Linked DNA regions of Lytechinus pictus. The main gene of each other region encodes a partner of the protein of the gene in region 3 in a complex. Links are inferred from orthologs where the notes say so. Each region holds a gene or a part of one and is shown on either strand. Other genes may lie near its edges.

What was found.
Region 1: tectonic-1-like (region 3) and transmembrane protein 237-like share a complex: the UniProt entries of both Homo sapiens proteins name them as parts of the tectonic-like complex. The link is inferred for Lytechinus pictus from reciprocal best matches to the Homo sapiens genes TCTN1 and TMEM237.
Region 2: tectonic-1-like (region 3) and transmembrane protein 17-like share a complex: the UniProt entries of both Homo sapiens proteins name them as parts of the tectonic-like complex. The link is inferred for Lytechinus pictus from reciprocal best matches to the Homo sapiens genes TCTN1 and TMEM17.
Region 4: tectonic-1-like (region 3) and centrosomal protein of 290 kDa-like share a complex: the UniProt entries of both Homo sapiens proteins name them as parts of the tectonic-like complex. The link is inferred for Lytechinus pictus from reciprocal best matches to the Homo sapiens genes TCTN1 and CEP290.

Annotation. Positions count from the first base shown.
Region 1 is NC_087245.1:17,041,659-17,048,977, forward strand, and holds the start of transmembrane protein 237-like, read right to left. Parts: upstream 3,002-7,319; 5' UTR 2,949-3,001; coding exon 2,931-2,948; intron 1-2,930. Other genes in the region: uncharacterized protein LOC129264684, read left to right, coding at 5,835-6,029, 6,635-6,926. UniProt on the Homo sapiens protein: Component of the transition zone in primary cilia. Required for ciliogenesis.
Region 2 is NC_087246.1:15,644,049-15,651,598, reverse strand, and holds the start of transmembrane protein 17-like, read right to left. Parts: upstream 3,010-7,550; 5' UTR 2,913-3,009; coding exon 2,813-2,912; intron 1-2,812. Other genes in the region: 2-Hydroxyacid oxidase 1-like, read right to left, coding at 6,223-6,281, 6,989-7,058. UniProt on the Homo sapiens protein: Transmembrane component of the tectonic-like complex, a complex localized at the transition zone of primary cilia and acting as a barrier that prevents diffusion of transmembrane proteins between the cilia and plasma membranes.
Region 3 is NC_087250.1:19,610,210-19,617,403, forward strand, and holds the start of tectonic-1-like, read right to left. Parts: upstream 3,020-7,194; 5' UTR 2,992-3,019; coding exon 2,769-2,991; intron 2,652-2,768; exon of another isoform or gene 2,647-2,651; intron 1,090-2,646; exon of another isoform or gene 301-1,089; intron 223-300; exon of another isoform or gene 1-222. UniProt on the Homo sapiens protein: Component of the tectonic-like complex, a complex localized at the transition zone of primary cilia and acting as a barrier that prevents diffusion of transmembrane proteins between the cilia and plasma membranes.
Region 4 is NC_087263.1:11,081,180-11,089,057, forward strand, and holds the start of centrosomal protein of 290 kDa-like, read right to left. Parts: upstream 3,004-7,878; 5' UTR 2,856-3,003; intron 1-2,855. UniProt on the Homo sapiens protein: Involved in early and late steps in cilia formation. Its association with CCP110 is required for inhibition of primary cilia formation by CCP110.

The DNA.
Region 1 (7,319 bases), on a different chromosome or scaffold from region 3:
TATCATTCTATTTCCTCCATTTCGCGCGAGGAAACTTTTAGTTCATTATTGGTTTTATCATTTGAAGTAATTATGTTTCCGTCAACTTTTTAATGCAAAAGTTTTAATCTGGGTGAGAAAAGGAAATAAGATGAAGAGCTTCTAAAACCTAACCTATTATAAATTCATTCTGTAAAATGACATGAATTAACAAATTGTATTTTTTAGCCGCTTCATCCCCGTCCCACAGCTCAACACCTGCACCATAAAAAACATTGCTGTCCCTTCTTTTTCCAAACCATCTAAACCAAAATGGTTTAGATGCTAACCATGGTAAGCGCCCCAAATGCGATTTTTTTTTTTTGGTCGTAACGGGGGGGGAAAGGGGTCCAGGACGGTCTTTATTCTTATCTTTTCTACCGCGTTACTCGCAATTAAAAACAGAAAATCGGAGACAGGAGACAAACAAGCAATATTAGAGTGTAGGTCAGAACATTTCCATCAGGGGAGGGGGGTCAAACAAGAACAATAATAAAAAGTCATAAGTTTGGGAAGGGTCTGATGACCGAGTTGCAAGAAACAAACATTGTGGGATTTTTTAAAAGTAATCTAACCAAAAAATAAAGTCATGTTGTAATTCGTTTAAGTAGATATTCATAGAATTTTAGCAAAAGCGCACTTGTCTGTTCCCCCTTTTATCTCTGTCTCTCATTCTCTCTCGTCCTCCCTGACATTTGAACATATTTTTTCGATAATTTCCCTAAATAATTATTCGTTCATCCTTATATGCATCATCACCCAGGGGAAGCGCCTTTTTGCAATAAGAATTACTGACGGATGTCATAAGCACCTGTGTTGTCGGTAATGAGACATTTTTTTTTTAGATACGGTATGTTGGTCGAAAAAAATGATTCATAAAAGCTTTTTGTATTGCTAAGTACGAAAAGCGTTCAATGGGTCATCCTGCCGATAAACACTAATCTTCCTTTTGTTCGGGGCGTTGACCATTTGTATCCTGCTCTTTTCGAAAGGAATTTGTTTGAGTGGCCGCCCAGACATTCTTTTGTTCGGGTAGTGCCGATATCATGAACTACATGGACGTTCCCCTTTTGAAAAGAGCAGAAGATGAATGGTGTGCTAAGCTGCCTTCTTTTCTCCTTTTTTCAGAATAGTAGACAAAAATAATGAGAAGAAGAGGGATGATTGGGAGGGAAAAAGTTCAAAAGTGCACCGAGATCAGCTCAAAGTACTAAGACATTACAAGCTTTTTGCTTTTCTGAAAATGCAATCGATCGATGAAACCAAGGAGATATCATTCTATCTAGAGTGATATCTTCTTGATGAAACAAATAAGACGAAAATGGTGAAGAAACGCGTAGCTTATTACGTGACGATCTTGCAGAAAAGATGTTAGCGTATATCTATCAGAATAAAAGAACTTAATGTTGGCACTGTAAAAACTGCATTACTCGTGAATTTGTTTCGCATTTCTGATGTCTTATTATTATTATTGCCAATACGTGGAAAACCAAGATGCTCTACCAGAACAACGATATGGATCAAATCATGTGATCAGAACAAATCACGTGATCAGGCCTTATGCGCGCGCGTACGTGCTCGTCACAAAATTTATCCTCCCCGTCCGACTCCAACGAAAAAATCGGGTAAAGTTGAAATGATTTCCTATTTTCGGGATTTTTCCCCACGTAGCTGTATATTTTTTTCAATCTGTTATCGAAATAGGTTTATGAAGGAAATAGTGGCAGAGGTTTTAGTACATAACAATTACGAAAAAGCTGAAAAACTTAATTGAATTAAACCAAACATTTCTCGGCTTCTGTAGAAGCCCGTCGTAGCTAAGTGAATGACTCGCTGGGCTTCTGTGGAAGCCCGTCGCACGCAAAGGGTTAACATTAGCCGTATGCCACGATATTGGCATCAACGCATTGACAAGCGAACCAACGAGCCTATACAAATTTTGTGCACATTCTCGAGAGAGCGCTATGGCCGTGCCTTTAAATTTATTATACGTAGAAAGAAGGTGGTATTAACATCAATTTAAGCCCCCGCTGGCACATCTCCCTGGCAATGTTCATGATGTGAATTGGCCGCTGCTCTAAAAATAAACATGAAATCTGAACTTCACTCTAAATTAAAAATATAAAATTAAAGTAAAAACAGACAAAATATTTGATTTCTCAAACATTTTCAATAGACTTAGATCTAACGTTACTCTAAAAATCTAGAATAGACTAGGTATGTTACTGTTAGTTACCTGTTACTAGTAGTAGTAGTAGGATAGTACTAGTGTTACAACTAGTTCAGACCTAGGCCTACATGAGTAAATTTTACTAAGTATAGACTCACTAGTAAAAAAGACACTATCGAGTATCGTATCGACGGTCTATACTTTTTTAAGCTAGACCCTCAATTTCCAGGAATAAAGCCTTTTAAAGGCAGCCAAGGCAAAGTCCAAACAAAAAAGGCATTTACATTAGGTCAATACATCATGTAGGTGGTAGATCTACTCCAAATAATGTATCAAAAGTAAAATGAGACGAGGTGGCAGGTAACGGTTGCACTGTAGGCCTACATCAATGAACCACGTGGTCAATGCCGATCGTGGTCTCGGAGCTGGAGTCGCGGAGCGTGGACTGTCACTGGAGTTAGCCGGAGTAGCCGTCTCCACAGCGGCCAGGTCGCGCCAGCCACTCCCGACGCGACCAGCTCCAAGGACGGTGCCCAATTTCAACAAACCGTCAATTCAACCGTCACACTCACTCAGTCACTCAAGTTGTAGAAGCCCTTTTTATCTACAAATATAACACCAAATGCAAATAAATATTTACCCGCTTACAGCTGAAAGTATACCGAATTGGTTATTTGTCAAATTCTTGCTAAGTTATTCAGTAATTTTCGATACAAGCATTTTTAATTTATTGGAAACTTACCAAGACAGCGGCAGCCATTTCGAAAGGAATTTTTCAGTGCTGCCCTCTTGTGGACGACACGAGAATAGTGCGGATTTTTTTTTCTACTGCACTGCCACCCAAACCTACGAATAGGCCTACCGGTATAATTTATCTATTATTCAAATTCAGTTTCAATTTAACTTCCAACACAAAATACACCCAAATAATCATTTCATGCATTTACAATGAATAACATTCAATGATATAAATGATATGAAAACACAGGGCTGCAAACTCTCACTCAGAGAGTGACTCTCACTCATTTTGGTCCCTTTTCAGTCTCACTCTAAATTTTGCATGCATTTCTATCAATCTCAGTATCTCACTAGATTTTACCCTAAAATTATATAATTCGCCTATGGGAGTCTCACTCTCACCTAGTTATCTAATATCGGTTGCCCTACACAACAGGTTACCATCATTGGTAGAAATAAAACAATGTCAATAAGAATTAATGAAGGAAAAATAAAAATAATGCAAACAAAAATTAATTGAAATTTTATGTAAAATTGAAAGTACGACATGGTTTTCGCTTATTAGCAGAAAACAGAATGAAATGCACATCAATGGCGATATGCAAGTGGGAATGCACAACCTTTCGTCACACATTCACTATATTTTCATTTTATATTTATTATTATTTGTATTATTTGCATGAATACCTGAAAAAGAATTTTTACATTATCCTTCTAAAATGTAAATAATGGTTTGTTTTAATACTCACGGACCTTGTTTAGTCATAATTCGGAGTGGGTTTTTTTAATCATCAAATCTGTAAAATTTTAACATTTTGATCAATGCTTATAACAAAATACAACAACAACAAAAACAGAACGATCGATTCCGTTATTCTCATAGCATACATGATCCCAACAGGATCGTATGCATTGACCAAGAGTTTTGTGAAGAAAAAAAAATATAAACTAAAAATTGTCATATACTAGTAATTTGTTTTATTTTAGGCCCACACATCCAATATGCGACTGTTCATGCTGCATGCTGCCATGTCTCGTGCAAAATGTGTAATACGATCATGAAAAGGGCGGGGCCTGTATTATATCACGTGTCCATCCGACACGTGAGTTTTATGAGCGCGCAGCGCAGGTGAAGGGTGGGGTGGGGTGCGGGCGGGGGTGAACTGGGGCGGTATTCTGAAAACCGTGTTAGCACAAAAACGGTGTGGTGTTAGCTAACACGATTGGTATTCTGAAAATCGTGTTAGCATGAAAAACACGTGGCCCAAGTGGTAACACCGCGCAGGTCATGAAATACGCAGTGCGCAACGCGCAACCCCCATACGCGGTGTTAGGGAGGAAGATAACACGAAATTTGGTATTCTGAAAATGGTGTTAGCTAAAATTTTGTTCAAAGATAACACGAAAATTTAACACTGCGTTAAGGAGAGGTTAAGTTGGGGATGACGATGGCTGCACTTTTTCTAGCAGACGCAAACGTCAAGAAGAACATAAACGGGCAAATAACTATCGTTTGGCAGGATTTACTGTAATTTTCTTTCTTTTTTCCATTTACCTTTAGTCTCTACTAACAATGATTAAACAACAATTTCTTTGGAATTTCCTATGAAAATACAATTTAAATGCATCTTTGATTTGGACTAATTAAAATCATTATCATATATGATCATGAGTTATTTATTTGGTTACTTTTTGCCATGATATAAAAAAGACAAAAAGAGGAAGAAAATTACAAACGTCTAAAAGAAAAGCACAAACAAAAATTAAAAAGAATGGAATTAGCAATTGGGGAAACTTCTATAATATTCACATTTTTAAAAACCCTTTTTCAATGATTATATAGCTCCAATAATTTTTTTTAACTCTCAATGCTTCTAGGTTATTCTCAATCTATCTATCACGCCAGTCAATCTATATGCTTCGGATGGGGGGAGGGGGCGGTCAAAAGTGTTTTTTTTTTGCATGGCTGATCGCTCTACGCATCAAATTATAATATAGAAAAAAATACAATTTTGTGTTTGATATTTCTATGTCAGATTTAATTTTTCTTAAAGTGCTTTTCATGCTTTTCAAAATTTGCATTTTTATTTTTTCAAGTTCTCAAAATTATTGGGGGCATGTATAAATTATGCTTGCCCCCATATCTTAGGGCGATCGTCCCCTGCCCGCTCCACAATCGATCGAGGCCTCTGTCTCCTGTTATAATTTCGTATCCATGCTGTCTGAAATAATCAATTTCTTGTATTATGTTATTATTTTGTTATCTTGTGAAGTATGAAAATAAATTCAATTCAGTTCTTAATTGTCACAATCACGTACCCCTCCCCACGTCTCTTTCTAGCTCTAACTTTTATTTACTAGTAGCTGTATGCGCTTACAGAATGATGTCACAATGCAGGCTTCGTATCACCGTGCGCACGTTCCCTTTTCCCTGAAAATTTTGCGCGATTTGTTTCTTTAACAGCGCATTTGATTGGATTAAATAGATGTAGAGTGGGAGGAGCCGAAGATAACACGAAATGAGATAACACGCAGATAACACGGTTTTCAGAATACGCCCAGAACCCAGCCTGAACCCATCGTCTTGCGCGGTTGTCATTATTGTTGATCCTTTGGTTTATCCATTATGACATCACCAAAACGTAATATAGGTCGGGTCACGGGATGTCTCGAGTAAACTTTCCCACGGTGACGTCAGACATAAACAAATCCACATGACACATGCACACGAGTACCGGTACGTAGACAGCGAACAGAAAAGTCGACTCGATGTAAAATGACGAGCAACTAAAACGTACGGCTGGTTTCGGCTTTCTGGAAATAGCAAAAAAAGCACTATTCAGTAACAGTAGACCAAATTTTTGTAAATATTTGTTTTGTTCATAATTAGGTAAAATAAACAAAAATCATGTCGGATGTAAGTAGAAGAGGGGCGATATATGTCCACCGCAGTGACATGGAGTCGTTGAAGAATAACAATTACAGTACCAAGAACAGCAGGGAGAGTATTGGGGCTATACCAAAAGCGAGTAGCTCCGATAGATTTCGAACTAAATCTGAAGATCAGGAAAGAAGAAGCAAGAGTACCATACCGTCAAGTGGGGTATGTAAAATGAACAAAAATAATTTCATGGTGTCCATTTTTTTTAAGCCAGCCAGGCACCAGATATCACCCTGTTAATATTACTTTTGGTCTACAGCTTCTCCAAATGAATATTGATGGCAATGTGATTGTGAAGAAGAAGAAGATGATGATCATGATGACGATGATGATAGAATAATAAATAGATGAATGAATAATAGATGGGTTTTTCCTTATATCAAAAAAATTGTGTTTTTACTTCCCTGAGAGTATTACATAATATACTATCTGGAGACAGAGGCTGATCCAGATGCCCCCCCCCCCCCCGCTCAAGGACTAATGGAATATTTGGTGTTTTTTTTTTAATAGATAATACAAGCTAGTGTGTAGGCCTTCGAAGTTTGGAGGAGGGGGCTCTTTCCCTGACCCTGGCGCCAAGAGGAGGCAATTATTGCCTAGTGATGTTTTTTATTATTATTATTTTGTGAAAATGAAGAAAAAGTTATGGACCTGCCCCCCCCCCCCCCCCCCGCCTCTCTGGTCAATCCTGGATCTTAATTTTAACCAGATAGATATCATGAATTAATAGGAAAATAGATTTATATCATGATATTCTTTTTCCTCAGCAAAGTCGTCGTGGAAGCGTAGCAACTGGTGGAAGGCGAGGCAGCACCATGGGCGACGGGTACCTCCGAAGAGGTAGCGTGCTACCGGAGACTGGCTCGGGAGGTCGACGCCAGAGTACTGTTGACTACGGAAGGGGTCCAGCTTCCGGCAGGCGAGGGAGCAGCCACCCTGGAGATGGTGCATATAACCGGCGCGGTAGTCGAATGGATGACATGTCATACTCTCCTCATCAGCGACGCAAGAAGAAATCAGCTGAACCCGAACCTGCACTCACCAAAGAGCAGGTTGAAGGTATTGTTTGAAAAGGGAGCATATCTTCAAAGAGATTTGGCAAATCTTTTATAATGTAATCATATTAATTGGAATGACATTCTCACATTGGAATCTTTAAAAATGTGTAATAATATAATCAAAACTTATAATGAAAGTTCTATCGCTTTCATGGATTTATTCTTTCATAAAATATAATTATTTTAACAATTTTTGCCTAATTTCAACTATGAAATCGTCACAGCCAGGAGGGGATGGTCATTGAGCTGCTGTGTCTGTTGAGAATATTATAATTGGATTGGATTAGATGGGATTATATTTGATTAGATTATAGGTAATGTTTAAATTGAGATGTTTGGAGGTTTTTAGTGAAAATTAACCAATGATGATTTTTCACAATCGTCTTGATGGGAT
Region 2 (7,550 bases), on a different chromosome or scaffold from region 3:
AAACACAGAAATTATCGATATTTAGGGCAAAAATTATAAATTACTTTTTAAATCTATCTCTAAGCATGCCCACAATTTCATTTCATTTATTTATGTGTCCATAAACATGTACAGGGGCAGATCTATCTTTTTCCAAGGATGGTTTTACTGAGAAACTTGACAAGAATACAAGCCCCCCAAAAAGGGTTTCACTACAACTTACTACAAAATGAAAGTCATTTTGATCCCAAAAAATTTGAAAAGCACAAAAAAGTAGTTGGCTTAAAAAGTAGGTCATTCCTTTTTTTTTATTTGCAGCCTGCCTATGGGGGGGGGGGCATTTAACCCCCCATACCCTGTAGATTCGCCACTGCATGTCACAAAGATTAGCAAATTATTTTTACTCTCCAGAAGCACACAGAATTACAGTTATCGCCGTATGCTATTCTTTCAGTCTTAATACAGGAATAATCACTTTTCTTACTCTTAAAAATTATTTTAATATTTCAGACATTTTTTCTACCATCCAAGAGCAAATGAACATATGTAGAACCTAGTTCAGCAAAACAACTTTTGATGTAGTCTTGTAGATCTACAGAAACTCTACTAAGCACAAGAGGTTATCAGTTATCACAATTCTGTGATAGACATTCCGCATTCAAATTACACAGATGCTAGCTCGGTAATGGTACAGGGCCTAGCGCATTTGATGTATGATTATGAGGATGATCTCGTAGCATGTGCATGCACCATGAACCTACAACATGACTGGGCGAAATTTTAGTAGATTTGAAACTGAAATTTGACTTGAGTCGGACTTCTGTCGAACGTTAGAGTAGAGACTAGAGTGTTAGTTCATGACAGTGACAGTGTCTCCTGGATCAGGGGCGGATCCAGCCTTTGCCAATGGGGGGGGGCAGATTTTTTTTCAGCCACATTTTCCCCGATCGGCTGCTCAAAATTATGTATTTTGTACTAAAATTTATACATTCTGGGCAATGTTTGTGATCCTAAATGAGATGTGTATCTAACTAAATTACTGCGAGCACAAAGCGCGAGCAGAATTTTTTAATATCCTTTTTGATCTGATAAAATATCATGTTTTTAATAACAGCTGCTTGCAGTTACCCATGAAGATGTTACATATTTCAACAATTAAATAATGTGAGCTGAAAATAAGCGTGAGCTGGAAATTTTGACATTTCTACCTGAAGAATGGAAATTCTAAGCACACTTTTTGTAATCGTGAAAAGGATAAGTATATAATTAAATAATTGATGCGAGCTTGAAGCACGAGCGGAAAAATTCGAGATTTACACCTAAAAATGGGACACTCTATTCAAGTTTTTTAAATTATGAAAAGGATGAGTAATTGGAAATCTTCCTATAATGCGAGCGTAAAGCGCGAGCAGAAAATTTTTGATATTGTGATCTGAAACTGGATAATGATTCAAATAGAGAAGAAGATTTTGGCCTAAAATCTGGGCATTCTAAATACCCTTTTTTGTCATGAAAATCAATAAGGCGATATTCCAATCTGAAAAAGAGTCAATTTAAGCTCTGTATTTCAAGCACTTTATAGGAAAATTGTGAGGTGGATATGGATCACAGTTAAAAAAGAGCTGATAAGTTTCATTATTATCACTTTGAGTTTTGATATAGGACATTCTAAGGACATTATGTCATATGAAAATGATCACTATCTTCCTATTTCTTTTCCTAAGCACAAGATGAAACTTGTCGATATTCCATTCTGAAAAAAAGGGACAATTTGATTACTCAATCAATATCTTATTCATTAATCTAATAAGCCTAATGAGAGTGAGAAATCTGTTGATATTATGGCCTGAAAACTGGACATTTAATGCACTTTTGTAATTATGAATAAGATGCATGAGTTAATATATTTCAACAATCAATGCGAGCGCAAATCACGAGCCAAAATTTTTGATAAACTGTCATGAAATGGGAATTATATGTTATAGAATTAATATTGAGAAATACATAACTCACCAATCAAAATGTGAGCGTGCAGCGCTAGCTGATACGTTATGGCTATCTGACCTGAATAGGGATAGTTTGAGAACTTTATGGAATACAGGAAAATAATAGGTACACCTGACGAATTTGCAAGCACGCAACGCGAGCAGAAAATTTTAATATTCAGACCATAAAACATACATTTTTACAGAGCACTTTATAAAAATCAATTTGTAAATCAAATAAAAACAATGAAAGTTCATTTTCCAAGCTGAAATGTGATTTGTATATTGACTTCAAAATTTGATATTTTAAGCTCCATATTAAGCAAGATATGTCAATCACCTAAAAAACAATGCGAGCACGAGCACGAAGCGCCAGCAAAAAATTTAGGCCTATAATAGGAAAACATGAAATATTTTTAAAAATTATTTTTCAAGTCTTCACCTCATCTTATTTTATTTACTCGTCTTCCTCCTCTTATGTTTCCCCTTCTTTATTCTCCTCTCTTCCCTTTTTTTTCTTTCTTTCCCCCTTTTTTTGCTCCGCCAATAGGGGGGGGGGCCCGGGCCCCCTGGATCCCCCTAAAAAAATTGCGCAGATACACGTATGCACAGACTGGGGGGACCAAACCTTATGTTAGCATAGACAAGACAGATATATAGCCTAGATTATTGATATACACTAAAAGTAAAATGTGATGCGAGGTTCGTTACATACAGACGAACTGATCATTGTTCATGATATTGATAAATTAATAAACCGTCCGCAGATCTATCACTAGACCTACAGCAAATCGAATGTATGGGGCTACATAAACGAATTCGCTCTAAAAATTATTTCTTGTGCTCACCAGGTTTTAGCATATGATGCTGGCGCTTTACAGCATTTCGAGTTGGAAATACAGCTTCTGTAAACGACGTCAATTTCTGCCTCATATAATCACCAGCCATGTTTATTATGGGAATTTTAATTTTTCTTCGAATTCGCGACGCTAACCCGACCGGACACCTTTTCGTTGTTGTTGGTATTTTGTTTCGTTTTTAAAGCGTAAGGTGTCTCTTAATTGAATAAATACCGAATCGCAAATTGTTTCGGTTTCTCCATTTTTACTTATTTTTATTTGGCCTATATATACAATCAGTTAATTTAATCGTTATCTTTAGCTAAATGCTAGCGCTGGCAACTTCTATTTAAATTAATATCGAAAAAATACAGGAAAAATAGACCAGTTTAGAGAATATTAAGGCAGGAATGAGGACCACAGAAAAGTCAATAATTTAAACTTTTGAAAGTAGGCCTATATCCTATAAGATACTGAGAGAAAAGCTGCAACGAAAATAATTCATTTTATCTCTTCTATTTTTTCGTCTTTCGCCTTTTATTTTCATTTTTTTTCTTTTCCTCTATATTTTCATCTGTTACTTCGATTCTGCCACCTTTCTCCATTTCATCAACTCTTTTTCTTTTTTCTTTGTTGGCAGCATTTTAGAAAAAAAATGTGTCACACACCCCACTCGTATACCGACGCCACTTAGGCCTACTGTGTATAAATGATTCACATTGAGACGCTTGTTGGATTTTCAAAACTGACCGTTTTTATGCATGTTTACAGAATTCATCACAAAAAAAGATATATCAGAAATCGCAAAAATTGATTATTGTAGCGCAGCAACAGATTAAAAATATGTTTAAAAAAAATATAGGACCGTATTACGTTATGTACATTAATAGAGGCAATTCGTTTTTTAAAAGACTGAAATTCTGCTCTATTTGGCAAGTAATGTTGTTTTCACCTATTTATTTCAAGAAGGAAAGAGTACTTATAATTTTGAAGTATTCAAATACCTTTTTCTTCAAGTTTCCTTTATTTCATTTCGACTCAACAAATTACACAAATATGAAATAATATCCATACAAATCAATACAAGGGAATACTATGTATAAGCAATATATCAATACAAGGGAAATAGATAAATGTTTTCGGTAAGCCATAAACAATAATCATAATATGATATATACCATGATGGTAAAACGAAATGTAGAACAATCTCGATTTAACATCTGCAAGGCTATTTTAATATAACTTTTTAATAGAATAAAAGTTGAGGAATTGGAGGTATCAACTGAAAAGCAGGGCTTGTTAAATGTGGATCCCTTAAAGAATTGGATAAAAGATCAGTACGAGTATCATACGAGAAGGAGGGGTGGGAATAAATAAAGTTGATGTGATGATTGGTAAATGGAATATGGAGTTGATGGAAGGAGAATGAAAGAAAGAAAAGAAACCGAAAGGATAGGGTGGTGCTTAGGTTGTCGGTAAAAGAGGAAGAGGGGAAAGGGAGAAAAAGGGAGAGAGAAAGAGAGAGAAAAAAAAGAGGGGAGGAAGGAAGACAAAGCTGGCTACCGATCGCTTTTTCTTTTTTTAGCTTCATTTAAAACAATTCAAACTAGCGGCATTTATAATGTCATTGCTGAGAGAATTCCGGTATTTAGGACCGTAAAAAGTCATTAGAAACAATTTGCAGATTAGAACTATAAAAGCACTTCAGTACTCAGATTAGCCAACATTAAAAAATTGATAAATAGAGCATAGGCCTACATATTGATTAAAAGTGTACAGGATTGCAGGCCAAATAATTTTGATTCACTCTTACAAACCAATTTCTATTAAACACATATACAATACAATGCAGTTATATAAATGATGCATTATCATATAAACATTTATATATATATATATATAAATGTATATATATATGTGTATATAACTATATATATGTATAACTATATATATATATAAAACTATAACTATAACTATATATATATATATATATACAAACATATATATATATATATATATATATATATATATATATATATATATATATGCAAACATATATATATGTACAGTATGATCAAACTTGTTACATCACATGAAGGGGTATAATATTATTAACAGAAAACAGTCATTCAAAAAATTCATTGCTTTTCCGTCTACCTTTACATTTATATATTTACCTTTATATATATACATATATATATATATATATATATATATATATATATATATATATATATATATATATATATATATATCAGTATCATTAAAAAATAATCCAAATCTAAGGGTATATTCTTATTCCTTTGCCAAATGAAGCGGCGCGATGGCGGACACTGTAGTGTCAGAGTGCACTCTACTTTTTATTGACTTTTTACTCGACTTCAAACGATAGGTGGAGGTGTGTGTTTGAGCGTTTCCTTTCAGCCTGTATAATCGTCACGGCTGTATATCACATTTTAAAGGTTGATCAATCAATCAGTCAATTTTTACCACAGTCAATAATCTAGGCCCACTTACTTAGCCGAATCACACTTAAATAAAGAGAATATCTTCTCAGAAACATAGACCGACAAACTGTATTAAGTTACCGTCATTTTCGCTTTTATTCATTTTGAATTTGACATTAATTTGTATACTATTTCGTTTCTTTAACTTTTCAATTTTGTTTACTTCAATTTTTCTATTGTTAATATTATTTTTGCATTATTTTTTTTCTTTGATCAATTTTGTAAAGTCAATTTCATTTTTGTTTTATTTGCATTCAGTTGTTCACGGCCTTGTTGAAAAAGCAGCTTTTAGCTGGAAGCAGGCTTTTTAACCGTGATTAAATGAATAAAATACAAATTTAAATAATTTGTGTGTGTGTGTGTGTGTGCGGTGTGTATATGAGTGTGTGCGTTTTTGTGTGGGTGAGTGTTGGCGAGACGATGATGTTGGAATGTGGGTGTATTTGCCTGAGAATGTGCCTATATTGTGTGAGGAGTAAGGATATATATTGCAAATAATCTTGACTAAATGATTCCGATTCTGCGGATGGGTAATTAAAGGGCTTTGTATCATTCATTCTTCCAGGATATTCTTGATGGTGGTCGGGATCTTAAGCCGTGGAAGGCCGAGTTCGGCAGACATTCAGAGGCACTAGCGTACCTAAGGGGGGGGGGGGCAGGGGGAGACTGCCCCCTGACGAGTCACAACTCATGCAGGGGACGTATCCCTGCCCCCCTGACGAGTCACAACTGATACAGGTTGTGGTTGAAGACTTTTTTTTTTTTTTTGCTTGTCAAATTTTTTTTCTGGTAAGAAATCCTTTATTTTTGGTTGAAGACCTTTTTTTTTTGCTTGTCAAATTTTTTCGCAGACAAAATATCCTCCAGAAAATTTGCCCCTCCCCTTCTGGAAAATCCTAGGTACGCCAGTGTTCAGAGGTAAGATTTTCGAGCTATCAATGATGACGGAATGTCTTGGACATTGGTGCAACCTGTGAAATATAAAATAAATACAATATGTGAAACACAGACATCTGATTAGTACCGCACAAGCTTTGGTTTTAAACCCACACAACTTGAGGACCTCACTAAGCATTTTACATCAATGGTTAATATGGTGTTAGTTTGACACCCACTATGATACTGTAATTACCGGTTGTCATTTAAAAAACTGTTTTTAGCTCAAACTTCGTATTTGAAAATCTTGTACCTCTTATACATCGTACAGCTTTTACAGTGTAGGCCCGGAGTGTAGGCTGACCAGCCGAGCTGCAACTCTGTGATTTCGGAATGGCATGCATACTAGACCTACTCTGAAATCGTATCAATACTGCACTTTTTTTTTTTTTTTTTTTTTTGGGGGGGGGGTAAGGGGGCTGCGCCCACTGTTCTCAGTGTGTGCAAAAATTCTCATCACCTCCACACATACACACACTACACACACACACACACACATACCGATTCACTTGGATCGATTTCCATTTGGACCTCATGGAAGATAATAGAGTGGTGGGCCTTCCAACCAAATCTGTTTTCCTTTTACCTTTTTTCCTGAAACATTTTTGTATATTTTTATATACAAAAATATAATTGTATATATTCTTTAATGACACAAATTAATGAATAAATATATAAAAACAATACCCCCATGAACCTGCATCATACTAAATGACTTAACAATGCGAAATGTAAAACTGACCTGAAATGCCCAGAGCAGAGTCCAATTCAAACCGTAAGATCGATAATACCTTATTGACTCCATCTGCACCCTGCGTATAAAGTAACGAATTGCAAAATTATATGAATGGAATTATACCAAGTCGTAATAATTATGTTATAGATTTAACATGAAATTAGAGCAGTATTTCATGACTTCTACATGTGTAGTAACTTTAATCAGATGTTCCTCTGTATATCTCAGTTTAAGGTATAAAGCAGGGGCGGATCCAGGATTATCCAAAAGGGGGGCACATTTTCCCGAGAAAAAATTGAAGAGCAACATAATAATAAAAAAATATATAAAAATAAATGTCTTCACTTCGGTCCGTATGAACGGCGTATTTCCATTAAAGATATACCTTTCAAAGGGGGGGGGGGCACACTTGTGTAAGAACATTTACTTTAAAAATGTTGATTATGGCTCTCAATGGGCCATGGCCCTGGGAAGCGGGGGTGCCGCGAAGCGGGGGTCTCGGGACCAATTTGACTTCCATTTAGTAGTGATTTTTTTTTTTTTGCTTTTCAAATTCACATCAGCACCC
Region 3 (7,194 bases):
TCATGAGGAGATGGCCAGCTCTCCAAGTCATCCGCCCAAGGTTGTTGGCTATCACTACGGCAATATCCACAACACCGGAGAGGATTGCCTGATACTACCAAGAACTGGACAAGATCCTGATAAAGTATGACCTAAAGGACAAACCTAGGTTCATATACAAAGTTGATGAAACAGGATTCAACCAGGAGCATTCACCATTGAGGTCGCCTTCAATCGTTTCCTGTCGCTCAGCAACCATAACACTCCTTGCCTGAGGATCAGCTGACAGATCGTCATTGCCACCCTATATTGTATTTAAAGGGAAGAACTTGATGGCAGAGCTGACTTGGGAATCATTACCAGGCAGCAGGTTCAAGATGACGGACAGTGGGTGGAGTAATGGTGATGTCTTCAGTCGGTTCCTGAGCAAGCATTTAATCCGATCCTTGCCAGACCGGGAAGCTGAGCAACAAGTTCTCCTACTGTATGATGGACACAAAAGCCACATAACTGTTCCCCTCATAGAAGCCCAGAAGCACAACGTGATACTCTTCCTTCTTCCCCCTCACACAAGTCACATTCTCCAGCCTCTCGACGTCGGCTGCTTCGATCCGATGAAGGCACAATTCAACAGTCAGTGCACAGATTTCCTCTCCAAGCATCCTGGAAGGTCAATCTCTAGATTTGACATGACAAGCCTAATCAGTCACGCATACCTACAGGCGATGAGAGAGGACAACCTCAAGGCAGCATTTAGGAAGTCTGGAATCTGCCCATTTGACCCCGAAGCAGTAGAGATCGAGAGGACGATGAGACCAAGTGCAATCACCAATGCCAACACCCCTCATCCGGTTCATCCCCCATCAACAAGCTCTATGGAGGCATCGTTAGTGACCAAGAAGCCTTCTCCACCTTCAAAGAATAGTCAGAGGGGTAGCCATCATGGAAACAGAATCTTCCTGCAGATCTACCGTTCTTCCACCATCGAGCAGACGACCCAGACTCGCATTTCTGAGGATAGATCAGATGATGACGAACGTTGTTGCCAGTGCCATTTGGACGATCCACCATCAGCCTCTGACATGGGCACTGTCATTAACTGGGCAGAATGTGACTCCTGCAAACACTGGTTGGGCCGGACAAGTTCAAATTGGCAACACATTTTTTTTTTTTTCAGGTTCCCTTGTGAGACGGAACAATGAAATATATGTTGATATGTATGAATATAAATATATGAATAAGTAATTATGTGAATATGCAAATATGTAAATATATGAATATATAAATATGTAAATATATATATATATATGTTAATATGTAAAATATGTGAATATATGAATATGTAAACAATTTTTATTTCTGAAAAAAAAAAGGAGATTTGTAAATGGAAAATGAAAAAAGAAAATGAAAACAAGAAATTCAGTTGAATATACAAATGATAACTTAGTGTCTTTTCTTCATTCTCCTTTGCTGTGTTCATGTGGCCATGAATTAAGTGTGCTGATAAGAGAACATGTTCATTCTCCCTTAATAAATTTCATTCCCCAATAAACAAAACAATAAGAATGGGTGGCGGGGGGTCTAATGATTTTGCCCCGAAAGAAGTTGACAATGATGTGAATTTTTTGTGAGAAATGTTGATAATGATATAATGAATAGATCCTGTAGTCATATTATACAATGGAAATTGTGGTAATGATGATGAAAATGGGATGATAAATGTAGTGACAGTGGTGATGATTGTGGGGGCACGCCTTTTGTGAAAAAATAGCTTTTACTTATAATGAAGGCCTAAATATATAATCTTAAAAGCAAGTAAAAAAAAATAATAACAAAATGATTTGCATGGTGAAATTGAATATGATGGAAATGAGAAGTAAATTTTTGGCATGATTTTGAGAAAAATGTCTTTGAATTTTAAAATCAATCATTTGGCCCTTGCCCGGCGCCTACCTCCTCCCAATCCTAAAATTTTCAGCAACGAGCAATCTATTGATAAGACGGTCATTGATGTGTATACAGAGGATTATTATCCATGATATTGCACAAGCCTATTCTCAACCTGGAAAAATATCAATAAAAAATAATAGTATTGCCTATTTCGAACTTTACTCAAATGGCTGGTATGTGCTGGACAATACGAGGTGGTTATCGAGCGTTTTGACACTTGTTGTCGACCACAAAAGGGCAACAAACTTAGGTCACACATGTGAGCAGAGCAGACTATGAAGTCGGTAGGCGTTACAAATTTCTTGAAATTACATTGATTTTAATCTGAAGTTTGAATTCCAAGCCATGAAATGTGAGATAAGATATTCTTGTTCTTTTGAGGTATTGGACGTTTTTTAAGGGTATATAATCTAATCTAGGTGTCTTGGAATTGTCAAGAAAACCAATATGTGCACTAAATACGGTCACCCCATCATAAGTCATCATGAACCATTAAAAAAATGAAATTTTCTGCATTTTATGTGATAAGTTATGGGGCAGCTGCTTGTTTTTTTTACATCAAAAATAAAAAAAATGAAGTTGTCAACTTGTACTTGTCTTGGACTTGTATTATTGTAAACTTTCTTAATCTTTTTTTCTCAAACCTTCACTTGACTTCACCAATATTTTTTAAATTATTATTAGACTTAAAATTCTGCTTATTTTTACTTTCGTCAGGGTGAACTTCCCCCTTTTTTAACACTAAAGAATTGTCTACATGGCTTCATGCGCACTTTGGTTAACTGAAACACACAAATGTCAATATATGGGACCACGCATATCATCTACGTACTCTTTACCTGTATTCGCGGGCACCTCTGTTGAAGGCAAAGTCGGCGGATTAGTCGTTGTTTGTTGCTGAGTCTGTGTTGTTTGGGCATTTTGGGTGGTTGCTGTTGATACTGGGTTGTTTGTGCTTTGTTGAATACCTGTGGGTGTTGTCTGAGCAGTTGAAGGAAAAATCTGTACCGCAGCGCAGAAGAGAATCAAAACTATTTTGGCGTCTGCTGGCAACCCCGCCATCTTGTCTGTGGTTATGAATAATAATATCAGCGTTGGGGGCGGGGCCGGGGGGTTCATTTACGCCCCTCAACAACAAATAATAATAATAATGATAATAATAAAATAATAAAACACACCACCAGCCGGAAGAATATTGACCTATTGATTCCTTGGCTGCAAACTTATAATGATAATAAAAAATAAAAAAATATCAATTCTTAATTTGTGCATGTGTATCTTTACGATTTTATTTTCTTCTTTTTGAAAAATTACAATTACTCCCACTAGCGGCCCGTAGGGGGGGGGGGGGCTTGAGAGGCAAAATTAATTTTTTTAATGTAGAAATGCCGTTAAAACATAAGTTTTTAAAGTGAATTTTTTTTTTTTTTTTTTTTATGCTTTTCAAACTTTTTCGTGGGCAAAATGTAACTTTGTCCTTAATTTTTGGTTAAATACCTTTTTTTTTTGCTTGTCAATTTTTTTCCTCTGGAAAATGTGCCCCCCCCCCTTTGGAAAATCCTGGATCCACCCCTGATTCGGCCAACTGTATATTACTGGTGTATTTGAAAATTCGGCGCCTCCATTCTTTGAATGAGCTCAATTCTTTTTTTTTTCTCGTTTTTTGTTGTTGTGCGCAATGCGGGGCATCATGAAAATCAGTAAGGTATGCATGGGGTCTTCGACGGCAGTTAATCATACCAGGGGCGTCGATCCCTTTTTCAGATTGGGGGGGGGGGCAAAATCATGAATCAACTTTCCAAAGGCGCTCGATCACACAAAACAAAAAAACTCACACACACACATGCCTATATATATATATATATATATATATATGTATGTGTGTGTGTGTGAGTGTGTATACACACTCACACACAAATATTATGTATATATATATGTGTGTGTGTGTGTGTGTATATATATAATGACTCATGACTGAGATAGAGACACATTTCTCACCAACAAATTAATGCGAGCGCGAAGCGCGAGTAGAAATTTCTTGCTTGGTACCAATGATTATGATGGGTATCTTAAAAAACAATAGATGCGAGCGCGAAGCGCGAGCTGAAAATTTTGATATTTTGATCTGAATTTTTTTTACTTTAATGGACGTTTTAAATAAAGAACAAGACATATATCCAAAAAAAGATTATTGCAAATCGAAGCGGGAGTTATTTTGAGGTTTAGAACTAAAAACGGGACGTTCTATTCATCTATTTAATAATGAAAAGTATGGGTTTTTGCTACAGAAATGATGCGAGCGCAAAGCGCGAGCTGAAATTTTTTTATATTCCAATCGGAAAAGCGGACAATTTGAGCATGATTTTTAAATAAAGAAATAGTTGTGTATCTCAATCTTGCTTGCTGATATCTGTGTAACATTACAATCTTATTTTATGTTTTGCACATGCGGAATTATTGGGGGGCAAAACGATATGTTTGCCCCCCAAATATTTTTATTGGTGGGGCGATCGCCCCCCTGCCCCCCAGGATCGACGCCTCTGAATCATACCATAATGTGTAATTGCCGTGGGGGCTCATTTAGGCCTGTTTTGAAATAAAGTATAGGGTCGATCGGGCACCAAATAAACAAGTCCCACTTTATGTTTAATAAACCAACAATTTTCAGAGGCAGTATCGTATACCCTGCGTGGCAAACTATTTGTTTTGAATGTGAGCTATAAAGTATGGCTTCTTTTTTTTATTAAAAGATATAATTTTGTGACAGATTTTGACGAAATAATATGAAAAAAATATATAAATCCGAAACTTCATGTATTGGGTCTCATTTTCTTTCCCTTTCTCTATCTTATTTTTGTATGGGGGAGGGGGTCATGGAACTATAACCCCCATGTGTACTCAGGCCTATAGGCCTACACACCTTTGCCAGTGGTAAAGCAGAATAACTTACTTTATTACAAGAGTATACTGGGGCCCGTTGCAGAAAGAGTTGCAATCGATCGCAACTCTAAAAATCATGCGTAACTTGATTTTCAACCAATCAACAGCGCGCATTTGGGACTTGCGATTGATTTTTTGACTTGCGTTTAAACGCAACTCTTTCTGCAACGGGCCCCTGGTCATGATAATCATGATAATCATTCTACTATTATGCACGAAGACAAATACAATTTTAAAGGGACTGCAATCTCCCGGTGCATCTAAATGATCTACGAGCCCAGTTACCAACTCCTGCCTATGTAGGCCTATATACATAATATTAATTTCAATGTTTTACACTGTTTTACTTAAGCCAGTTCGTAGTTAATCCTTTCTGCGCATGATCAAAAGATTCTACGCATGATCAGAGGAAGGTTATTTGTACTAAAGTGACATGGTGGTTTAAAATCTAATGAGATAAGCACCAACTTTGATGTCTTGATTATTCATATATTCTTTTGAATTGTGGTTTTCATTTACATCCACAAAAAACAACAACGCGTCCACGAACGACTGGTTTTCACCGGGGGTTTTCATAGTTTGCCAAGTACATTGTGCAACATGCTATGATATGCATTCAAAGTAGGAATGCAACCGTACAAATACCTTCATAAAGTGTTCATTGGTGTGCTATTCTAGTCACCTGGTCTATTCAATTTCTTCATCCTGCTATGTAAGGCAAGCTTACGTAATATTTTGCTTTGAAATCTGCCTATCATCATGAAAGAAATGAAAGGTCATTTGACCGAAAATTGTCCATGAGGTAACTACGAACTGGTCGATTAATAGGCCTACTATGTTACTTGATTTTTTGTTGTTGGATATGGAAATAAATGAAATGAAATATATATAACATGCCCGCAGGAGTTTAACTTTGAAAATTAGTTCAGGGTCGATCAATTTTTGGCAAGTAAGAATGAAACTCTTGGAGATTGGAAATAAATTACTGGAACGTACAGATGGGGGGGGGGGGGGGGGGGGGGGGGGGGTTAGGGCCCGTGGCGCCCCATTAAGTTCTATCACCAAGAAAATTAGTATAAAAAAAGAACAGGAAATGGAAATGACCGAATTATGATAATATTTTTTTAATATATCGTCAAAATTAATACAACATCATAGTTTTTCCTAGAAAGATCGTTCGTTTTGCTAACTTGCGAGATCTTTTTTTCAAATATTGGCCCCATCCACTCTTTTTGCCCCTCTATTTTTCAAATATATTTCTTTGTTCCTTACGCTACTGAACTGAATAAAGAAAAATTAAAGGGATGGTCCGGGCTGAAAATATTTATATCTGAATAAAAAAAGTAAAATTCAAAAAGTAAAATGCACAAAATTTGATCAAAATCGGATAACAAAATAACAAAGTTATTGAATTTAAAAATTTATCAATATGTTGTGAAAAACATTTATATGCACATCGTCATGAATATTCCAAATTGGCAAGTTTCCCTTGCTATGTACAATAAAACAAAAATACTACAGCATAAATGAAAGTTTCAGTTTTTGGGGCTCTAATATATAGGCCCTATATGCTTGATGGCAACTGAATAAAATCATATATTTTTTTTATCCCTTTCTTCATTTGAAGGGAGAACAATGAATGTTTTCTACTCGAAATAGTGCCAAAATCAAGCCATTTTGGGCAGAAACCCTTGATATGTACGTTTTTACTGATCACTGTTTTTTTGTGATAAAGGAATGCTACCGTCGCTCAGGTTGCTCTCTCGTATAAAAATATAATGAGGAACAGTTTAGAAGGGGGAGGCTGTACGCATAAAGTTTAGAGGGAGAAGTTCACAAATGTAAACCGTTTAATAATGGTATTTTTTGCATTTGTGTACACGTTAACTGAAAAAATTGTGCGTGTGTGTGGGGGTGTGGAAGATGAAAAACACCTAAGCACCGCCACTGCATATCCTGATATGGTAAAGCAATCTAATAAGGATCACAAAATAATCCACAAATAATATTCAGTTGGTGCAAGTGCCGCGGAACCGGTGGGGGGGGGGGGGGGCTGGGTGAGCTTCAGCCCCCCCCCCCCTTCCCAAAACCATGTACAAAACCTTAAAATGACCATCTGATCGATTGTGATTTTTTTTTGCATCGAAAGCATATCCCCCTTCCCGCTTTCAAAACCATTCCACGGCCCTGTGGTGTATTCATTCAACAACAAAAAATTTTCCTCATTAGCGGGTCTCGCTGCATTTTCATATTTGAATCCCGAAGCGTCAATAAAATCAAAGAGGAATAAAAAAAAAGTATAGCATATAATTTATATGCAGATCT
Region 4 (7,878 bases), on a different chromosome or scaffold from region 3:
GGCCAAAATCCAAAATGGCTGCCAAAGCCCCCCAAAATCACAGTTTTGGCCACAACTTTTTTATTTGGTGGTAATTTTCTCTGGTTTTGGTGTCTATTCATATGTTTTTGGGGGCAGGCAATTTGTTTTTCCTATAATTAGTACTTTTAAACCATTATTTGTAGAGTTAAAAGGTAATTTTACCTAAATTTTCCCATTTTTGTAGCCTTTTTTCAGCCAAAAAGTAGGTTTTATCATCCTGGGGTTCTGGGATATTGGATGGTACGAGGTCAACAATAGCAAGCAGCTTCATGTAGCTATATTGCTTTTATTCCTCCACTTTGGGTTTTACTGATATTTGTGAAATACATCTTATCAAATAAAAGAAAATTCATTTATCCATAGGGGCTATACGGTGTACAATCGGCACTGTACATACTACAATGTATATATCCATGCATTGACCACCATGGCATATGACAAGGCCTGTATATAAACTATAGTGTCATAGAAATGAGCTTCAAAGGTTTAGAATTAGATTGTGAATTTGATTCCTTGTCAGCTAGCAACGTAAATTACACTTACATGTAAATATCACATACAATGTATATATACGTACATCACATTTTTATCCATATCTTCTTCATTTTGAGGCTTTTATTTTAACCTGGTTCTGGTGTCTAACTGGACTATGTTTATGGGGTCAGGTAACTACTAGTATCACGGTAACGCTGATCAACAGCCAATCAGAATAAAGGATTGCATGCAAGTTACCATTAAGTTAAGTTAACATAATGGTAAAATTTTATGCAACGGGGCCCAGAATAGCTACAGTGTAAATTACCTCTCTCCGCCCCCTGAATTAGCATATTTGACAAAACATGTCCTCAATTTCTGAGACAAAACAAATCTTCAATTTCTGAGGCATCTAATTCTAAACCTGAGAGCTCATTTCTATGACACTATAGTTTATACAAGCCTTGTTATCTGTCATAGTGGCCAATGCATTTATGCAGTGCAGTATGTATGTACAGTACATTGTACATACTGTATAGCCCCAATGGATAATTGACATTTTTTTATTTAATAAGATATATTTCACAAATATCCATAAAACCCAAAGTGGAGGAATAAAAGCAATATAGCTATATGAAGCTGCTTGCTATTGTTGACCTCGTACCATCTAATATCCCAGAACCCCAGGATGATAAAACCTACTTTTTGGCTGAAAAAAGGCTACAAAAATGGGAAAATTTAGGTATAATTACCTTTTAACTCTACAAATAATGGTTTAAAAGTACTAATTATATGAAAAACAAATTGCCTGCCCCCAAAAACACATAAATAGACACCAAAACGAGAGAAATTGACCACCAAGTAAAAAAGTTGTGGCCAAAACTGTGATTTTGGGGGGTTTTGGCGGCCATTTTGGATTTTGGCCCGGCACACTTTTTTCTCGGACCCGAGACAAAAATTATTGTCATTTCATGTTGAGATACATTACAAGGAATGAAAAAAAACTGTTGTCATATTGAAATTACAAAAAAAGTATTTTTGACCCATGTATAGCCCACTCCTATTATTATTTTATTTTAATTGTTATTATTATCATTATTATTATTTCCTGCTGCAAAACTATAAAACCAATCATATCATTTCTTTGTGATTGAGTATATTGGCACAGCTACACATGTGGGGCAAGGGGAGGGGGGGGTGTACATCCTTTTCATCACAATATTGCTCTTTTAGCTTTAATTTTCTGGTAAAATTTTCAGGAAAATTCAAAACTGGAACTCTCTTTGTCTTACGAGGTATTTTAATGCCACAGAATCAGCACGATTTTGTAAGATTTGGGATGTGGTGCTCCATAGACACACACATAATGACACAGTACACACTATAGGGGCCTGTGGACAAGGGTAGATTCAAGACTCAATAGCGGGAAAGTTTGAAATTAACACTTGTAATTGTCAATGATGAATGAATAAAGTGTTGCAAATGACCTAAATAATACAAAAAATCATGAAATTAGGATACAATAAGTTGCAGAATCGAGATATTATTGATGATTTGAACTATACCCAAAATGTGCAAGAGCACCACCGTAACTCGGGAGGACGTGCGACGCCGGGGAAGAAGGCTTTGTTAAACATTAAACATCATGAGTATTGATGAATTTTATATGTATTGATTCGTTATACATTCCTAAATTCGAAAATCGACACGACTTATTTTCCGAACCATCCCTAAATTAATTATTGTGGCCTAAAGTCACCTTATAATTACGAGCCTGTCTCTTACGATTTTTTTTGTAAAATTTGACGAGCGCCCTCTCGCAACGTAGTGGTGAAATTAACCAAGATGGCGCGACACATATACTTTCCATTGACTGCGTGTAACGTGCACGTACGTGAGGCCTAACTGTTAAAATTTGAGGTGAACTGAAATTTTTTTTTTTTTTGCTTGTCAAATTTTCAAAAATGTGCCCTCCCCCTTTTTGGGGAAAACCTGATCCGCCCCGGCCCTGCTTTCTTATTAGAGCTCAAACAGTAAGGGCATCCTTTCAAATGCCAGTCCTCGTTCCCTGTCGTTTTAAGCCCTAGCCTAGCCGGCCAAGCTTTGCCTTTGTCGGACTCGGAGACGGAGTACGAGTTTGGCCTTCCCGACGTCCGACTGAGCAGAGACACGCAAGCTGGCCGGCTGACCTCGGGAAGCTCCGGGGTAGCGTGCAGTCAATGCCGCCAGCGCACACAGCCACTTTTCGCTTCGAAGTGGAGCAGCCTAACTAAGATTTTCAGCCGCTAAGCACAACGTTAGCGTCTTCACAAACAAAACAATAGGGCATGAGAAATTGAAACCATGTCAAGAGAAATTACCGATTGTTACCAGTTACAAGCAAATCGAAAAAGGTATTCTTGTTTTCTCAGCCGAGCTTGAGACAGCTACTGAGCTAGCGAGACTGGCGCCTTCTTTCATCCATTTTTGTAAAGCGTCCATCACAACGCATTTTGCAACGTAGATGGCAGCATGCAAAGGCGGATTCAGGGGGGTGAAACTCCGCTTCTGCATCCGGTCAGAATTGGGGGAAATTTTGGAGGGTCAAAAGTGCACACTGCTCCCATTTTTCGTATACAAGCCTATGGACACCGCCACTGTCTTGGTACACCAGCGAAATGAAGGCGTGGTCATGGAACGTCCTTCGCGCATAGCGTAAAATATGTAAATTAGTATTTTGTCACTAATTAGCATAATGCGCGACCTGATTTAATATCGTTGGTGTCTGTGATTACATCATGTCAGATCATTCGTTTTTTTCCTCCTCAGAGTTTTATTATTCATCTATTTTAATGATCTTTTTGTTATTGCCTGTTAGATTATTACTGCATCGTTGCTTTGTTTTAGCTGCAAATGGCCAGGGTCTTTGCTAAAAAATATTACAGAGGAGGTTCCCAAAGAAAATGTTGCCATATGCGATGACATCTCTTTATGTTTCTGGAGCCCTTTTTTCTTTTTATTGCAGAAAACGAAATGAACCTTTTTTTCATAATATAAACAAAGATAATAACAAATCAAGTTCTTTTCCATAATTTTAGTCTCCAATATAAGTCCTATTATGAATAGCAGTCCTCGGAGCACTTAATTTTAAATGGCGACTTCTATGTCAAACATCAATAATCATGACCTAGGTATATACCATATTTTAGGGGGGAGGGGGTTCTCAAAATTAAATAGGCAAGAGAGCAAACCAATCGTAGGCTATAGGGTATTTCTTTTTTATTTTCAACTGAAAATGTATCTGGTGTAATTTTCATATGGAAAGAAAAAATACATTTTATATGTATGTTTCAAAAATTTGGAGAAATAATTATAGCCCCCCCCCCCCCCCGTTGCCCGTCATGAACAGTAAGGTCTTATAATTGCTTCTTTCAAAACAAACTGAACTTTCACCCCCCCCCCCATCTCTCTCTCTTTCTGTCTTGTCTCTCTCTCAGAAACTGACATAACTATATGCATACAAGCAAATAATTCTCCTGTCATTTTACTTTCTTTCCCACTCTTATCCTTATTTTTCTTGAATAATATTTTAATTGACTGCTGTTTGATCTCATGTAACAGTGGCATCATCACATTTCAGTACAGTGCAACATCTTGTGCCATTTGTGCATAACAGCTCAGCAGCAATACATCATCACAATTAATTGATAAATGAAAATTACCAAGATAAAAAAATTCAATTCAAAATTAACATGTTTATTAAGGAATGCATTTTCTAAAACATTGACATTAACATAAAAAAAATAATTAGCATCTACCAAGCATTAAATTGTATTTTAAAAAATGAAGGCAATGCATAGCTAAAAAGGGCTGTTACTGGGTAAGGGTAGTATGGGGTGGGTATATAAATGTACAAAAATAGGATTAAGTACATTTTTCTACATTGTACAATGTTTGTTAAAATTTCATTCAAAGGATCTCGATGAGCCTATAGTTAATATTCCATAAAAGAGCATAAAAACCTTTGATATTCGTTTATTTTCTTCCACAAAAGTTTGTCACTCAAAAAAATTGGTAAATTCCTTTCAAATTTGCTGACAAGAAATAGTCTACTGATGTGAGAGCACTCCTCATAAGGGGGGGGGGGGGTGGGACACAATGCCAGAATCCTAAAGAGTGCCTTCCCCAATCAATACATTAGCGAATCATTAACAAAATTTGATTTGTCTACTGTCACTGTGGTTAGAATTCAATCTATTTTTGAAATATAGTCTATTTATATATTATTGCAGTGGTAGCCCATTTCACATAACGATAAATGCAACTTAATAACCCTACATAATTTATGAAGACTTGCAGTGGCGTACCGTGGGTCACGGCATCGGGGGGGCACCAGCAAAAATTTTGAGACCGTTTCATATCTCTTCTTGGCACTTATGTTGTGATACCAGTACTTAAACAGCTTAGGAAGTGGGAAACCTGCATGGTAAAAAAGAGAAAAGAACATAATAAGCTGTAAATTATTTTTACTCATCTAGTCCAGTTTAGTAAAAAAAAGATGTAAACTCTATTTTATATCTTCAGTGATAAAACAAGTTTAGCACATGCAGTCACTTTCGTCCCACATCCAGATAAATTCATATATCAATATAACTATCTACAGTATGTTTTGAAAATAAAGAGTGCAAATTAATTCAAATATTTATCAGAATTTTGTGATAACTGTAATAATATCTTGGGTTTTTTATGCAAATGCATGTATAGACAGGAGATATGGATAATTAGTATGCAGTGTTAGAAATGGAAATACTGGTGAATCTGAATTCAAACAAATATTAACTTACAATGGAACTTTAACATTACATGATATCGCATCATGTTTCAGCACAATTGGCCATAGCCCACCCCCTCCCAAAAAAGGGGAAATATTCTTTTATTTATTTATTTATTTATCTTTTTTTTTGGGGGGGGGGGGTGATGAGCTTGGATACAGCCTGTATATTATCAAAACAGTAAGCATACCTTGCAATTTTTCCATTCAGATATCCTGTTCCTCATTAGATTGTAACTAACACTTGCTGATCGGCATGGTTCCCAATTTTGTACTTCTGACTAGGTGTGAACTGCTAAGAACTTGGTCCCATTGGATCTGCAATTGACAATTTAAATTTGAGAGTTTTAGAGATAATAAAATTACTCTTCTTAAACAATATTTTTGAAATTTCCAGCTGCCCATATCCCAGGTCTATGAATGAATATTCCAAACTAGAACAAAAAATTTATCTGGACCCGAAACTTCATTCTCTATCACATAGAGACATAGGCCTACCTCACTCTGTTTATAAAAGTAAAATGATTCCAACCACATATTTCTACAGCTGTATATAGCTGAATCTGGTCTATGCTGGGCCTGTATAACTTAAGAATCACATCACATTTGAATGAAGTAAACACTAAGAACGTTTTCAAATTACCACCCAAGGCCGGGCCCAGGGTATCCTGTTCAAATAGACTTGATTTAGGTCTAGGGTAGGCTATGCCATTTCATTCAAATCTAAGACTAAGACAAGTGACACTTAACATAACAGACATTAATGCTAAGACAATCGTATTTCAACACTGATTATTCTGAAGTAAAGCGTTCCTGAATAAAAGAAACTGCTGAGAATTATACTTTTTCATATGAAGATGAAATAGAGGGGACGGACTAGGCCTATATAAACTTCAACTTTCAAGCTTGAAGTTTGGGCCTAGTCCGTCCCCGCTATTTTCATACCCCATGACTACATCGACAATCTCGCTAGCCGGCTAGCACCGGCGATATCAAAGGCCGGATCCCGCGCGCTCTGACCATATCCCTACATTGACCTAAATTTGAATAGGCCTAAAATCGACAGTTTGTCGTTACTAAAAAACAGGAGGTCGGAAACAAGTCCACATCTACCCCTGATAATTGTCTAATCACAATAAAACTGAAATAAAGGTTTACTTTGGACCTACATGAAGCATTCCGATGAATGTCTAGATCTACGACAAACTATAGACCCCTAGTCCTAGATATACCGGTAGTATTTTTGATAAACTCAATGATCACACTTATTTGGAAGTCAGCTCAGGCAAAAGAAATATTGAAATTGAGGTTTACATAGTGCGTAATACAGGATGAGCCCCGAACCCCGGCAAACACATTACAATTTGCAAGTGAGATCAAAACATGAAAATGAGCGTAACTTACTTTTATTCCTATGGAATGTCATTAGAATAGTATTGATGTTCCCTCCAAGATTTTCCGCTCCAATGAAGTTCACTCAGAAACCATGATTTCGAACATCAATTCTATAAACAGATAATTAGTCTAGCTATTTCGTTTCAGAAACTTCAAATTTGCAGAGTCCAAAAGAACGACACTTCGCACAGATATCGTAGGGAATTGTGGGACGGAAAAAAATGTTTAATGCATGAGTACATGAATAAAACATTAGCGTTTAATCCAATCATACAAGTGCATTATGCGTATTTTGACGTCATTCTCATGAATAAAACATTGACCCTCCAAAATCATCCTTCAAATTGTCCGCCGGCAGCCATGTTGGCTATGTACAAAACCTATGGGAAATAAAAACGCGCGGAAAGAGTTCCCTCTCTAGCTCCCTTCGGGAGCTTATACGTAAGATCGTATCTCTGTGGGCGGATTCTTCTTCTAGTACGGTACCGGTACTTTGGGCTATCAAGTAAAAACAATGACTATTTTTTGTTACCCGGTTTTGACTTTTGCCACTGCTTTTTTGAGTTTTTTTTTCTTTGCAAGGATGAATAGCTTCTTTCTCCTTCATTATTGTTTTTCTATTCTATATTACTTTCTTTTTTCTTTCGTCTTTTCCTATTCTTTTCTTTTTCTCTTTTTTTCACTATTTTGTTTTCTTTTCATTTTGTCCCCTCTATTTTTTCTTTACTGCTATTTTGCTTTTTATCTTGTCTTTTTTTTCTTTTCTTTGTTTCTTTTTTTCTGTATTTTGTCTCCTTTTTCTTTTTACTTTTCTTTTCTTCTTTTTTCCTTTTCTTTTTTTTTCTCTTCTATTATTTTTCTCTTTTTTCTTGATTCTTTTTTATCTTTCCTTTTCTTTTCTGTCCTTTTTTTGCTTAATCTATGATTTATCTTATTGTAATAAATAATCCTTTTTTGCCTTTGTTTTGAATGCAGGAATTTCTGTCTGTACCTGTCTTCCTTATCTTTCTTTGCTTAAGTTTGTGCCCCTGAAATAGGCACATGCCTACTTTGCCCCCACACAAAGTCAGAATATAGTCCCTGAACATGAGCTGATGCTATAAAAAGCGATTGTGCATGGAACTGAGGCTTTGTATCAATAACACCAATGTGATAAATGGGGTGATAAAATCAAATCA